Linked DNA regions of Alligator mississippiensis. The protein of the gene in region 1 purifies or fractionates together with the protein of each later gene. This does not show direct contact. Links are inferred from orthologs where the notes say so. Each region holds a gene or a part of one and is shown on either strand. Other genes may lie near its edges.

What was found. Proteins that work in one complex are often made in the same cells at the same time.
Region 2: the proteins of POGZ (region 1) and CHAMP1 purify together in Homo sapiens (affinity purification with mass spectrometry; 4 studies listed by BioGRID and IntAct, with this or other methods). This does not show direct contact. The link is inferred for Alligator mississippiensis from reciprocal best matches to the Homo sapiens genes POGZ and CHAMP1.

What each region holds. Positions count from the first base shown.
Region 1 is NC_081838.1:19,811,666-19,819,377, forward strand, and holds the start of POGZ (pogo transposable element with ZNF domain), read right to left. Parts: upstream 3,046-7,712; 5' UTR 2,894-3,045; intron 2,774-2,893; exon of another isoform or gene 2,708-2,773; intron 1-2,707. UniProt on the Homo sapiens protein: Plays a role in mitotic cell cycle progression and is involved in kinetochore assembly and mitotic sister chromatid cohesion.
Region 2 is NC_081824.1:350,550,871-350,557,837, forward strand, and holds the start of CHAMP1 (chromosome alignment-maintaining phosphoprotein 1), read right to left. Parts: upstream 3,094-6,967; 5' UTR 2,930-3,093; intron 2,658-2,929; exon of another isoform or gene 1-2,657. UniProt on the Homo sapiens protein: Required for proper alignment of chromosomes at metaphase and their accurate segregation during mitosis. Involved in the maintenance of spindle microtubules attachment to the kinetochore during sister chromatid biorientation.

The DNA.
Region 1 (7,712 bases):
TAAGACTATTACGTGTATCCCAAAGATTAATTTAACACTACTGTGTACATTTATGTACATTCTTCTTTCCAAACAAGTTTGTCAATTGGTATAGCTCCTTAGATGATTTAACCTGAGGGTATTTATGGTGCATCTTAGTTAACATTTCAGTTTCCTTCCACAATTCTTGAATGTGGGAAAGTGCTATATCCCTAAGTAGCTGCCACTTCAATTTTTTCCCCCTATTTGCTTAAATAGGCCAGAAAACAAAGTTAAAAATCAGACCCCTTCACTTTAAAAAAAAAAGGGTTTAATTCCTTAAGTAGAATCATGCTAGACAGAAATTGAGTACAGTAATGCACTGAATCAAGCTGTGTCCTTCGCAATCTCCCTCCACACCCACCTCCTTGGTCTGTCCCACTTCTCTCCTTGCCACTATACACTCCCCTCATCTGAGCTGCTGTCTTGTCCCTTGTCTTCCCTCCATATTTTAACGGTAAACAATCAGAGGAAGGAGTGTATCTTATCTTGTACCATCTCTGAAAACTGATGATACTGTATTAAATATTTCTCAACAATGTAAACTAATCCCATGCTTAGAACAGGACATAACCCCCTGTTATTGAAATAATTTGCAATCTATAACCTGGAAAAGTAACTTCCATCAACTTTGACATATGACACTGGTTCTTAAGCAGGAAAGAAAAAGAACAGGTATTGGATCTTATGCGACCATCTCATCATTGCTGATATGACTATTTTAAACCTCTGTGCAGCATTTCAGATGGAAGGGGATGGGTTTGGGTACTTGAGGTGCAACTTGCAGGACAAAACAATTGTACTCTTTGTTAACTGATGTGTTTCATTTTAGTTCACCATCTAGAGTGATTGTTTTAAAAGGCTTATTAAATTGTCTATGTTGTTATCACTTTATTAGCTGTATTATTAAAGCTTTCAAGCATGGGATGCCTATTACAATATATTAATATATAGAAAATATATAATAATACATTCATTAAAATTATTTGCTCCCATAGTTAGAACGGCAGAATTAAAACTTGCTTTCTGATATATCTGTGCGTAGTGACTGGTCCTACACTTCTAAGATCTTGTATGAGACCAGACCTACCCATAAATTGCAAGCCTGTTCTGCCTAAACCTAACGGTATGTGCATCATCTTGGCTCTGATTTGATCACCAGCTCTGTGCAAGCTATTTCCACATAACACTCTGCTAAATTTCAGTGGGTATATGTGCAGGTGCAAAGGTCTGCCCATATGGAGCCATTTGAAGGGTCATGGCCAGTTAGTATTTGTGCATCTGTACCTCTATTAACAAGGTGTGTGCAGATGTACATAAAGTGTGTGCGAGTGTGCATGCACATACATAAAGTGTGTGCGTGTGTGTCTGGATGTGTGCACATACACAAAAAGGGCAACCATAACATTTGCAGAACCCGCAGACACGCTGGAGGCTCAGAGTAGCTACAAGCTGGAGGACATTTGGGTAGATGTGGTGGATGGATCAGACAGGCAGTCTCTGATGTGATTTATGTCAATATATTTTATACCCAGGGGCAATTTAGGAATGCATATATAATAATTAGCTACACTTTGTATTCAGAGGCAGATGTTACAATCAGCATGACCCGCAAGTAGCGAGATACAGGATAGCGGGGTGTAGAACGGGGCAGGCCCATTTGTCATAAACCACTACAGGACATCTCCAGAAACAAATATCGGCCTCCCCCTCCTCACGGTCAGTCACTTGCAGACATTTGGTGTGCCCTGCCAACAGCTGCAACTACTGTTAAGTCAGTAAAGCAAAGCATGCGTTGTCAGTGCCTGCGTGCATGCGTAGAGGGGGGTGTTCCTGCCTGGACCCGCACATTCTCCATGTCCCATGTGCAGAGGAAGATAGCAAGCAGAAGGTAACTTTAAAGGATGCCCTGGTGTCAGCCATCCTCAATCACTCTGAAGGGGGAAAGAAAAGCAGTTGTCAGGCCAAAGCAATGCTTCTCACCCTGTGGGGCAGCCAGACCAAGGAGAACAGGGCTAAGACGCTTCACTGGGGCCAGAGGGAACGCCCTCGCCAGGGAGCCCAGCAGCAAGCTTGCCAAGGAAAACCCCCTGGACCAAGGGAAGCCCCTGAGGAGAGGCCAAGGGGAGCAACTCAGACTCAGGCCTCGAGGATTACGAGGCACCCCCGTGATTACGAGGTGGAGGGCCAGAGCAGCCCCCGCAAAAGACCCCCGAAGCAAATGCCCTGTCCGTTCTTCCTTTGCAAAGGCGGGGCCGCACCTCCCCCCGCCAGCCAGCCTCAGCTCATTGTGGCTGCTGAGAAAGAAAAAAAAAAAAAAAAAAAAGGGAGAGAAAAAATAATCCCGTTGCCCAACATGGCCGCCCACCCAGCACCAGCTTGGGGAAAGGGGGAGGGGGTGCAGCCTGTCCCCTCCCCCTGCAGACAGGGCTGAGGCGGGGGCACTCTAGCATGAGGGGCGCTTCACACAGGGGGTCACTACCCGCCTCAGCAGGAGGGGGGGGGGGGCGCGGATCACTCCGCCTTCCAGGCAGCGAGGCAGTATCCCGCCGCCCAGCGGGAGCGGCCCCTCCCCTCGCGCTCCCTCCTCCTCCTCCTCCTCCCCGCCAACAGCGTCTCGCGGCCGCTTTGTGTACGGCGCGCGCGGCCCCTCGCTCGCTCTCCCGCCCGCCTCCCCCCCCACTCCCTGCCTCCTTCCCTCCCTCCCCTCCCCTCCCCCGCCCCCCGGCCCGGGCGGTTCGAACCGGTTCCAACGGTAACCAACCGCCACCCGCGCGACCCCCCCCCGCGGTTCACCCCCCCCCCGCCCCGATCCGGTTGATTCCGTTGCGCCCGCCCCCCCCTCCCCCCACATAACGGGCTCGCGCCAACTCACCTTCCTCACTCGCTTTCTCCCGCTGCTCAGCCGAGGCGGCTCTCGCACGCTCTTAAAGGGACACGCACCCCCACAGCACCTCGGAAAGGGCAGCGGGAAGGGGAGGGCAGGTTGCATGAGCTTCCCCCTCCCCCCCCCGAATAATTTTTTTTTTGCACACCCCCCCCGGAAAAGGAGAAAAAAAAAAAAGCGCTGCGGGTTGATACACACACAAGGCACCAACAGACACACACACACACACACAAAAAAGGGGACCTGGCTGGCGGAGGGATACGGTGACGTCATTTCCTCCTCGGCTCCCAAGCTGCTTTGGGATTGGCTGGCTAAGGGGTGACATCACTAGGAGCAGGGCGCACCCTAGCATGGCTTGGTGAAGTTTGTGTGAGGCACAAATTATTTGGGGATTTTTTTTTCCATTGTTTTTTTTGGAGGTGGGAGGCCCCTAGGGGTTTTTTTTTGGGTGGGCTCCATTCCTCCAGGTCCAGAAATTGGTGGCAAGGTGCAGGAGTGGAGGAATAGGGTAGGATCAGCAGCGCCCTTTGAGGGCCCTGCTAGCCATGCTGGGGGAGCTGCTCTGCCGCACCCCCCTCTGTGGTAAAAGCCAAATATTTAATGTTTCCATTCGCCCTCATGTGCGCCATGTTTTTTTCCGTAGGCAAGCCGAGAATCTCAGAGGCGTGGATTGAACCTACCTCCAACAGCCGTTGCTGGTGTTGGAAGGGTCACCAGTTGGGCTTGAATTTGCCGCCTTCTTCAGTTGTTGGCCATGGGGTTGGCAGCACGGGTTGGTCTTGAAATTAATTTGCTGCCAATAAGGATCATCCGCTTGGGCTTGGTGACATGGTTAGGTCTCCACCTGAACCTGCTGCTTAGCGATTTAGGCAGGACGAACAACCTGGCTGTATCTTGAATCCACTACCTGCAATGGTCGTTAGCTATGAGGTAGGCAGAGATATGGCTGTGTCTCGAGCCCACCACCTGCCATGGTTGTTAGCTATGAAGTAGATAGCAAAATGGCTGTTTCTTGAATTCACCACCTGCAGTGGTCGTTAGCTATGAGGTAGACAGCAACATTGCTGTGTCTCGAACCCACTACCTGCAACAGTCATTAGCTATGAGATAGATAGTGACATGGCTGTGTCTCAAATCCACCACCTGCAGCAGTCATTAACTAGTAGGTAGGAACGTCACTGTGTCTCAAATCCACCACCCACGATGGCTACTGATTTTCTAAATGGTTAGTAATAGGGAGGGGTTCCTGATGACTGTTAGGTGCCTAGTGACACTGTTAGCACATGAACTCACAGTTTGTAATGGGTAATGTTTTTAAATAATTAGCCTGGTAGTTGACATTTAAACCTGCCACCTACAGCTGGTAGTTTTGAGCTATTATAATTCATTTTATTTACTGACCTGATCTCAACATTCAGACCCATCACCTAAGATTTGAACCCAACAAGTTAGTTAAGAAAAAGTTGTTAATGACAAATACTTTGGAGGCTTTCTAATAGGTGTTGGGAATCAAATGTTCATATTTGTTGTCAGACATATTGTAATATTTTTCTATGGATGACCAAAGACATTCAGAAGTACGGTGGTTTTATGTCCCTACTATAAAACCTGTCATTTTATCACCATTGGCATTAATTTCTTCCCTTTCAGGCAGCGACAGCTATGAGCCCAAGAATTAAATGGGCCATGGAAACTGAACTCCTCTACTGCCTCCATAAAGGTCCCCAACAGGCCATGACTGAAGCATATTCATGTGATGGTGAGTGCCGGGCAGATCTGTAGGCTCTGCCCATCTAGGTATACCAGCCCCATTTCAATAGGAAGCTTAAGCACGTGTCTAACATCAAGTATGTGGATAATCCTAGTATAATTAATCAGTATCTTCTCAATATTTAAAGTTTGACACTTGTTTAGATTGGCACTAGATAATTTTCAGTCTCCCAGACTCTCAACCTAGTAGCGTTCATCGGAAGTTGACATTCTCCCACATATACATTTAAATGTTTTATATCCTCTGTAATAATGAATACTAATCGTATTTATTTATAATTACATTTAGCAATGCTGATAAGTTTTATGATTTTTTTACCACAGAACAAAGACAATAATAAGTGTATATATAACTCATCACTCATGGGATAATGTTTATTTTTAATAAGATGATACCTTTTACAGCAACAGTAATATATGTATATAGTTCATATTTGCTAATAATTGTTGGCAATTATTACATGCATCTTCAGTGCACTTTAAGAATATTAATTTATTAATTCACACAAAACTTCTGTGAAGTTGGTAAATAATAGTCTGATCAAAAGAATCAATTTTATATGGCAATCAGATGTCACTAGCATTTATCCATTTCATTTTTTATTGATGTCATTATTATCCTGTTATTGATTAAACAAGCACTTTGATTTGAATTGCCGGTCATTCTTTCTAGCTTGCATGATGCATCAGGTTTTCTGCCACATGTTGGTGGGATATATTTGCATGTATGTACCTATATATCATTTGTTGCTGATGTAATGGACTGAATTCTCTGCTGGAGTAAAGCCAGTGAAGTTAATAATAATAATAAAAGTAACTATTATTTATCTATGTGTTTTGCGGTAGTAAGGAGGAACTGCAGTCATGGGACAGAAATCCCTCGTGCTTGGTATTGTAGAAAGGAATCATTTCATAGAGTACCAGCATCTCTCACTTTTTTTCCCCCAAGAATGTTTGCTCTAAAGTAGAAATATTTATGAATCATAAGAGAACAAAATCCCTTGAAGCCAATTACTATTTTCATTACTGGTCTACCCTAATGACTAAAAAGGTCAAAAAAGCTTTTAAAAGGAGTTCAGGCATTATTAATACAATTCAACTCCAAATTATAACATTTTATAGCAAAAGCAGGTCTCTAACTACTGTGATCACCATTAATAACAAAATCAACATTTACCACACCACCATATTGGACTTGTCCATTATATTTACAATATTTCTTATATTTAAAATAGGGATCATCAGGAGTCACCAGGCCCTGTTTGCCTTCATCCAGTGTACGTAATGGAGATGCTAAATTCAAGATGCAATTAATAAGCAGGGCAAAAAAGAAAGAGAGGATTCAGCAGGAATCTCAGTATTGGTGAGCTATTTATAATTTTTGGTGTATGGATATGGAATGAAAGGGTAATCCATGCCATTTTGTGCTATGGGAGCAAATACTACTGGCTGCCACTATGCTTCATATTACGCTACTCGGAGTCATGGTGATAGTAGAAATAGGAATCAAATCCTAACCCTGCTTTATATAACTCAGAATAAAGGAGACTTCTCTGATTGTTAACATTATAGAGCATATGACATAAAAATTAATACTTGTGATTCCATCCAGTGAACAGCAATAGTATACATGTCCTGTCCAATTTATTAGATATATGCAGTGGATTTTTTTGATTAAGTATCTGCTACTAAAGAGGTCCAAGAGACTTATTATAACAAATAATTAACTATTTCCCTAAGGGCTAATTGTTATTAAGAGTGGGTCAAGGTTAGGGCAGGGTCATGAACTAACCCTGACCAAGACATAACTTTTTTTTATAATGTAGCTACATTGTAATGCCATTTACCATAATTAAGTAGGTTGAGGTACATATTATAACCTAACTTCGACCTTTTTTATAGTGTAAATTACATTTTAGCAAAAGATCTAAGCAAAGCAGCAAAGATTAATTGATATATCAAACTAGCAGTTCCAAAGATAGTAAGTTGGAGCATTGTATGTTGCTTCTGCAGCTTGCCAGTTTTTTTGGACGCCTGCCACAGGGTTTTTGCCATGAGTCTAAAATTGGAACCACCTGCAACTTGGTTGGTGTCAAGGCAAGAAGTCAAAAGGTTTCAACATGTGGTTTCATAATCACTGAGAAATTCATTGCAAGGCTGTATCTGGCTCTGGAAATGAAACAAGATGTAGCACAGTATTTTCAGTCACAAGTTCATTCAGCAGCATACAGTAAGGGGCTGACTACAAGAATAAGGATATGCATTTAGAGAAGTTGCCACTTGGCAGTAGGAAGTTTCTGTTTAGACAGCTAAAGAGGTAAAGCAGTTTAAATATGATGTCACTAAAATGTTTTTCTACTGTTGTCCCTATTTAGCAAAGTACTTAAGCACATACCTAACTTTAAGCACATTGCTAGCTTGAAACACCCATTACTACAGTTATCAGAGTTTAGAAATTAATTTTTCCTCCTTTTTGTTTATGTCCATTTTAGTTTAGTAAGTCTCATTATTCCTCTGTACTGTTAAAATACTTTGCCTTCTCTTTCTCTGCATTTGAATTCAGACTTGGGATATATAATGATTTTACATATAGTAAATTAAAATCTAAAGATCAGAAACTTTCAAACTCCTGAATATTTTAGTTTTGCACTGGATTTGGGAGTTTGGAGTATTGCCATTCTTCTCTTCTGAATAAGTGTTGAAATAAATATCTGTCTTTCTAAAATATGCCTCCCTAACCTTCTTGGGAAGCATCTGAGAGAAGACATTAATTAATCTGTGAAGCAGAAACCAACTGTGTTGCTTCCCCCCTCTCCCCCCCAATTTAATTTTTCAGCATCTTTCTTGATATTTTGCATCAGTGGACTGCAGTAATATTTAAACCATATTAGTCAGTCTCATGTTTAACTTCATTTCCAAATAATTTGTTTTTGTCACTTTGTTTAAATTTACATGGTATGTACCATATTTGTTATAGTACAAATTTTGATTTAGAATTATTTAACTTATAGCTATATTTGGGAGGTGATTCCCTTTC
Region 2 (6,967 bases), on another chromosome or scaffold:
GTTCCTGCATATCCACCTAGGGTGCAGAAATCACTAGTTACAACTGAGATGGAACAGAATCTGGCCCAAAGTACCCATAGACAAGGGTGGGGAGGAGGAAGGGGAGGAAAGGGCTGAGGAGACTGAAAGTACACTTTCAGAAACTGGGGCCGTGGGACAGCAGAATCTCATTTCAAGGAAGGGCTCAGATAGAAGAAACTGGAAAGGAGACAATGCTTGGTCCTGACACCATCTTTGAACTGTGTGGGACTCCATGGTAGGATTCATTCGCTGCAGACTGGTACCTGCTCGTAACATGGAATTTTATTAAGAGATACTTGGTATCTAAGGATAGAATGTCGCCTGATGTGGCATGTGTGCTGTTATAAACATTTTTTATGGAAGCACAAACAGTGACAAAGTAGACAATCCATACCTTTTGTTGCACCGCATGCGTATCCACAACAAAAAGTAGCATAAAAGAGTTGTTTTATTGAACTGCACATCTATTTGCCCTGTGGTGGGAGAGTGCGGGAAGCCTGAAGATGCCCAAACTCTCCAGCCACCCTGGGCAGGTATGCCATGGGCTTGAAAGGCCCCCATCTTGCACACCTCAGGATTTCCCACACAGAAATCAGCCCCCTCAGGAAGCACCTGCCCAGCTTTCTTTGCTTACAGAGACATCCTAGGGAATCCTAGAGCATCTCTCTAAGCAGGGAAAGTTGGGGTTTCCTGCTTATGGAGACCTGCCTTGAGATCTCATGGGGCACTTTTCCTTAAGTGGGTAAAGTCTGTGTAGGTCCTGGTGTGGAAGCAAGGGACCTAGGGAATTCCTGGAGCTCTGTGCCTCCAGGTTGGGACCCACACAGCAGCATGGGACCTGGGGAATCCCCAGTGCCCCATGCATCCACACCAGGAACTGTGCTGAGCAAATTCCCTAAGTCCCATGATGCCCTGTGCTTCCTTGCTAGGACCTGTGTCAACCCATGCTTCATGCAGAGGCATGGATCAGTACGGAGGCACAGAGCCCTTGGGTTTCTCCAGGTCCCATGCCACCCCATGGTTGTGTGGGAATCATAGGTCAGTATGGGTCCTGGCAAGCAGGTGCAGAAAATTTACAGGCAAGAGGAATGTGCTGCCTTTTGTCTCTCATCAGGCCTTTGCCTGATGCACAACAAGGAGTGGTATGTTTCATCAAATAAAGTGGACTGGCCGTGGTGGGACATGCCAGCCACAGCTGATCCACTTCGTTGTTTGGCAACGTCTGTTTTTACACTAAGCCAGTGCCTTTCACACTGCATTCCCTGGAACCCTGGGGTTCCACAACACGTCATCAGAGCTTCCCCAAAGAAACTGGGGGCAATAGCGGAAGCAGCACGTCATCACTGCCAGGTTTCCAGGCTCCATATCAGCTTTTTAGAATCACAGAGAAGCAAGGCTGGAAGGGCCCTCCAGGGCCATCTAGTCCAACCCCCTTCCTGAAGCAGGATCATCCCTATCCAAATGATCCCATACAAACAATAATCTAAACTCCACATAAGACTGTGTAAACCCTGACACAACACAGATCTAACACCCTAACCTGCCACAGGTATAAAGTAGAGGAACAAATATCCTGCTTCTATGAGACCCTGGGTAGAGGGCCAACAGTCCATACCAATCTAACCATGGGGTACGATTCCTTCCAGATCCCAAATATGGCGGGGGGGGAGGGGTGTCAGGAAAGAATGGTCCGAACCCGAGCAGAGGGGCAAGATCCTCTAGCCAGAATCATCCAGCTTTGGTCCCAGCAGGACCACTGGGTGTCAAACTCCCCAGCCTTGGCTGTAGCCAACACCCAATGAAGGAGGCTTAAAAACACCCTGACACATGTAGCAGAAAGGGGTGGAGCAAGAGTAATCTAGAAGCCAGAAAACATGTACCCACAGAATACATAAGCATAGCTATACCTGACCAGTGGCTGCCCAACCTCTTTTTGAACATCTTCAGTGACAGAGTTCACAACTTCCCTAGTCAGTCTACTCCTCTGCCTCGCTCTTTTAACAGTAAAGGAGTTTTTTTTCCAAATATCCAAACTAAACATACTTTGCTGCAACTTCCAGCCATTGATCTGCATCCTCAACTCTGCAGCCAGAGAGAATGGCACCCCTCTTCTTTATGGCGCCCATTCAAGTATTTGAAGATTGCTATCATATCCCATCTTTTCCTCAAGCTGCAAGTGCCTAGCTCTTTCGTGGGACTTGCTTTCCAAACCCTTTATCACCTTTGTGCCCCACCTCTGGATCCTAACTTTGCCACATCCTTTGTAGGACAGGGGTAGGAAAGGACAGGAGTGGCGGGTTCTGCAGCAGAAGCAACACGAAAGGATCTAGTGACTTCAGGACGTTTGAAAACCTGTGCCCTTCAGCGAGACAAGGCAGCCAAAGCAGCCTCTTCTGCTGCTACAGCCAGTGGAGACTGTTCATTGGGGGGGGGAGACACGGACAAAAGTCCTCTGATCATCCTGGGCAGCTCTGGGCCCCAAGGGCTGCTTCCTCAGAGGCAGAGAAGCCTGCTAGCCAGGCAAGGGGAAATTCAAATCTGAGAAGCAAAGAGTGTCCGTATCTGGGGCACCTCCCCTGCTGCTGCCCTCTGCTGCACGGCTCTCCCCTCCTCACCCACCTCTTCTCCACTGAGACCCCCACCCCCGCGACTTGCCCGCGCCCCTCCCCCGCCAGGCCAGGAGGCAGCGCCCCTCCCCACCACGCTGAGCTAAGCCCCGCCCGTTAAGCCCCGTCCTCAGCTGGCGCCATTGCCGCCCGCCCCTCCCCCCCGCGCACGCGAGTTAAGCCCCGCCCCCCGCGCGCCCCGTTGCTGCCCCTGGTGGGGGAGGGGCCCCCGCTGCGCACAGCGCGGCGCTGGAGGCTGCGGGGGGAAGGCGCAGAGGGATGGGGGAGCCGCACTCACTCACCGCGCTGGGACGGGGGCCAGGTGGCTGCGCGGGGAGGCCGCTGAGCGCTTCCTCCCCACTGGCGGGCGGGCAAGCGGTGGGAGGGGGGGAGGGGGGTAGGCGGGCAAGCGGCGGCAGCTGAATTGCGCCTCGCGCCCGCTCGGCGTCCAACCGGAAGTGAGGGCTCCGCGCGCGCCCCGCCCCCTCTCCCTTTCTCTCGCGTTCCCTGCCTCGCGCAGGCGCAGTGTGTTCGGGAGGGGGGGAGGGGCGCGAGTGCGCAGGCGCACTTAGCGAGGACAAGGGAGGGGTGGGGCTACTGGGACGGGGTTGGATTCCCCCCCTGCAGAGGGGAGGGGGGCACAACTCGGCAGGCGGAGGAGCTGGGCCTTAAAGCAGTGCTTCCCAAACTTGACCTCAGCATCACTCCATTTCCTAGGCATGGCCCTCTCATTTCCAACCCCCAGTCTCAGGACTCCCTCAGCTCTTGATGCTGCGATCCCAATTTTGGGAACTGCTCTCTTAAAGGCTGCAAGTGGGAAAGGAGCAGTGAAAAAAACCCAACCCTGTTCATCCCCAGTTCACTCCCCTTTCAGCGTCCCCTTCTGCCACCTGCCTGTTTGATGCCCATAAAAAACCTGCTACCACCCGCCCTCCCCCGCCCCTCCTTTTATTCCAGGGGGTTGCTGATGGGGGGGGGAATAAAGGTGAAAACAGATGGGCAGAGGTTGTTAAGGGGTGCATGAGTGGGGAGCAGAGCACATTGGCCAGTGCCTACTGGTGCTTGAGCAAGTCCAAGGAGCCAAGGGACCCTACCCAGTGCAACTCTGCCTGAAGACATATGAGCAGAGAGGGACATGAAAACAGGCCCACAGTCCCAGGGTGGGGTCCTCCTGACCACAGCTTCCCCCAGGTCAGGTCGATCCAGGAGGTTGAGCAGGAGGTCGCGGGACTTGGTGGGGCTGTGCATGGGGAGCGCATAAACAAAAAGAAGCTGGAGTGGTGCAGCCAGCACCCCAAGAGGCTCTTGAGGAGGCAGTGAACAGGCTGCAGCCTGCCACACTCAAGACAGGCATGCACCAGAGTGCGACACAGGACTGGTTGGTGTGCCAGGGAACGTGTACCTAGATCCACCAAGACAAACTACAAGCCTTCCTTGCTAAGACAGGCTACTACAGGCACACCAGCATGTTCTTTGGGACAAATAAACAGAACAGGAACAAGAGTACGGTCACAGGTTAATGAGTGTACCAAGGGGGGACACCTAGCAGAGGACACTTGAATGAGTCCAAGGAACCAGTGGCCACTGCCTACTGAAACTGCCTGGAGATGTGCTTGGATGAGGGCCAGGAAGACGGCTTCAAAGTCACCAGAGGTCATCCCAGTCAAAGCCTCCTTCCCTGTCAGATACATGGCTAGCTTGGCTAGGGCCAGGAGGTTGCACGATTTGGTGGAGCCATGGACAGGGAGTGTATAAATTAAGGTGCAGGAAGTAGTGCAGCCAAAACCTAAGCAAAAGGCTCTTGAGGCAGTGAAGGGGCTGTAGCTTGACGCACTGAAGATAGGTGTGCGCTAGACCGTGTGACACACCAGACTGGGCAAGAGGGACCTGTGGTTTGACCCAGTAAACAGCAGTTCTTGTGTCCTTATGAAGTGGGCTGTTGCATACACAAGCCTATTCCTCTCTGAACGAGTTAGCCCCGGAGGAAACGCCTCGCCCTGCCTTCTGCCTGCAGAGCAGCCAGGAAATTCCAAGTGCAGGTATTTCCTGCTTCACCTGCTTCTAACCCTGTCCCTTGGGATCTCAGGAAGCATCACCCAACCCATATCTTTTGATTCTCCAGTGTGGCCACCTGAGGCTAAAGCTGAGGGGATGGTCATCTCATTAGACAACTTCTCATTAGAAAATGTTGCACTGGGATGAGGGGGAGTTTCGGATTTTGGGGTGTTGAGTAGGCTACACTAAGCCTTTTGGCTGGGGCAGGATATAAACCTAAGACATGAATGAGTAAATGAATTGAAATGGTGGGAAAAGAAAGGGAGCAGGAATGATGCAACAGTTCCTAACTCTTGGTTGGCAGCATGGTTTTGAATCTCTAGCCTTCACCTTCACTTGGGTATCTTTGTCATTACCTCTCCAGGGTCCCCAGCTACCACCCTTTCATAACGAGAGGGTGCATGATGCTTAGCACAAGTCCTGCTGCGGTTTGGCTTTATTTAGTAAATGCTGGTGTCACATACAAACACCTCTTTTATACTGTCTTCTTATGCTTTGCAGTTTAAGATTACCTTGGGTTGGTAGGGGTGGCTGGGGCCAGTAACTGTGCTATCCCCAGAAGCCTTACCTGGAGTCTTGGGGAGCTGCAGCTACGGTGCTCCTGCAGCTGGGAGCCTGGCTGGCAGCCAGAGCGTGGCTCTAGCAGGCCAGGCTCTGCACACACTGCCACCACATGTGCTGCCCTGCTTTAAGGTGCAGATTTGTTTGACCCCAAGATCTCCCAGGGTCAAAAACCTCCCCTGTACTGCAACGTAGCAACACAGGGAATGCCTGCATGTGTGGTGGCGTAGACGGGTCTGCACCGCCTCTTTGCCTGCTCCAGATTTGATTTCCAGTTAATGACTACTGCTGAATATTTTAAACTTCCTATCTACTGGCTTATAGTCAACCTATATTTTCAGATATCAAGCTCTATGCATAGAAAGATTACAAGTTGTAAAACCAATATTAACCTTTTGTTTTATGTGACAAAAATTTGAAGACAGGTTTGGCAAAAAATCATAAGCTTATTCAAACTCCCTTTTAAGGCAGCATTATTTACGCAGCTTCTCTGCAGTCTCACAGTCTGGCTCAGCAGAGATGCCGCTGTTCCCAGTTTGATATTGTTCTTGCAAAGAATGGCAGCCATTTCCCCCCGAATTCCAGAGTATAGCACTTGTTTCACAAAGGCATTAAAGACTGAAAAGTTTCTTCAAGCAAAGGCCTACAGTTTTGTTGATGTAATGAAATGCCAGGAGCCTACAAACAATTATAAAGTTTTTTTTCATTCAGAAAAAATTGTAAAATACTTCATTGAATACAGTCATTTCAACATTGTAAATTTTTAAATTCACAGTCACAGGAGGAATTTAAAATCTTTAGGCCTGCAAGACTTGCACTTTCCTCAAAATAAAGATTTGGAAAACAAAGATAGTCTCTAAGAATGGGGTGCAATTAAGCAAAAACACCATCAGAGAAATAATAGACGTAAACATCATTCAAAGTTGACTGAAGATCAATCTGTAGTCTGCACAATCTCTTTTTCTAATCCAACATCTTCAGCAATCTCTAGAGCTTTCCAGGCCCTCAGTGATTGCTTGCACTCACTTCCAGCCTGTTGGATTGCTCTAGGCTCTCTGAAATTAGTACCATGCTTTAACCAGAAAAGTCATGATGCTTTTGTAAATTTCATAGACTTCACAGACTTCATAGACATTAGGGCTGGAAGGGACCTCGGAAGATCATCGAGTCCAGCCCCCTGCCCAAAGGGCAGTCAGCTGGGGTAAATTTGGTCCAGAATAATCTGTTTCTCATAGTGGCATGCAGCAGAGGTTGTTTAGTCATCAACTGATTCTATGTGGACCAGTTCTTTATAATTTGTTCAAATTATTGATCTATGAAGTTACTACTACTCCTCTGGGGAGATCGTTCCTTCGCCTTGAGATTGCCAAAATAAGGATTATTTAGGAACTCAGTACTCCAGCATTCTCAAAACTTGAATGCAAGTCTACCTTGTCCTCTGTATTATTTGATGAGGTACCCAATAAGGCCTGATCCAGGATATATATTTTTTTCTGACTATTTTATTCTGTATAGCTGGAGCAGGCATCTGCATTAAAAACTGCTTAATCTCTGTTGGACACACTTGTTGCTCATCCGTAACTCTGACTCACGCAGGAGAATGCTTAATTCGTTGTGAGTAAAAATTCATGGCCTAGTGCTAATGCTGATAGATTTGCAGCATTTACCCTCTCAAACCATTGCATCATAGACACAGTCACCAGACTTTTGGAGCCTGCAGCCCA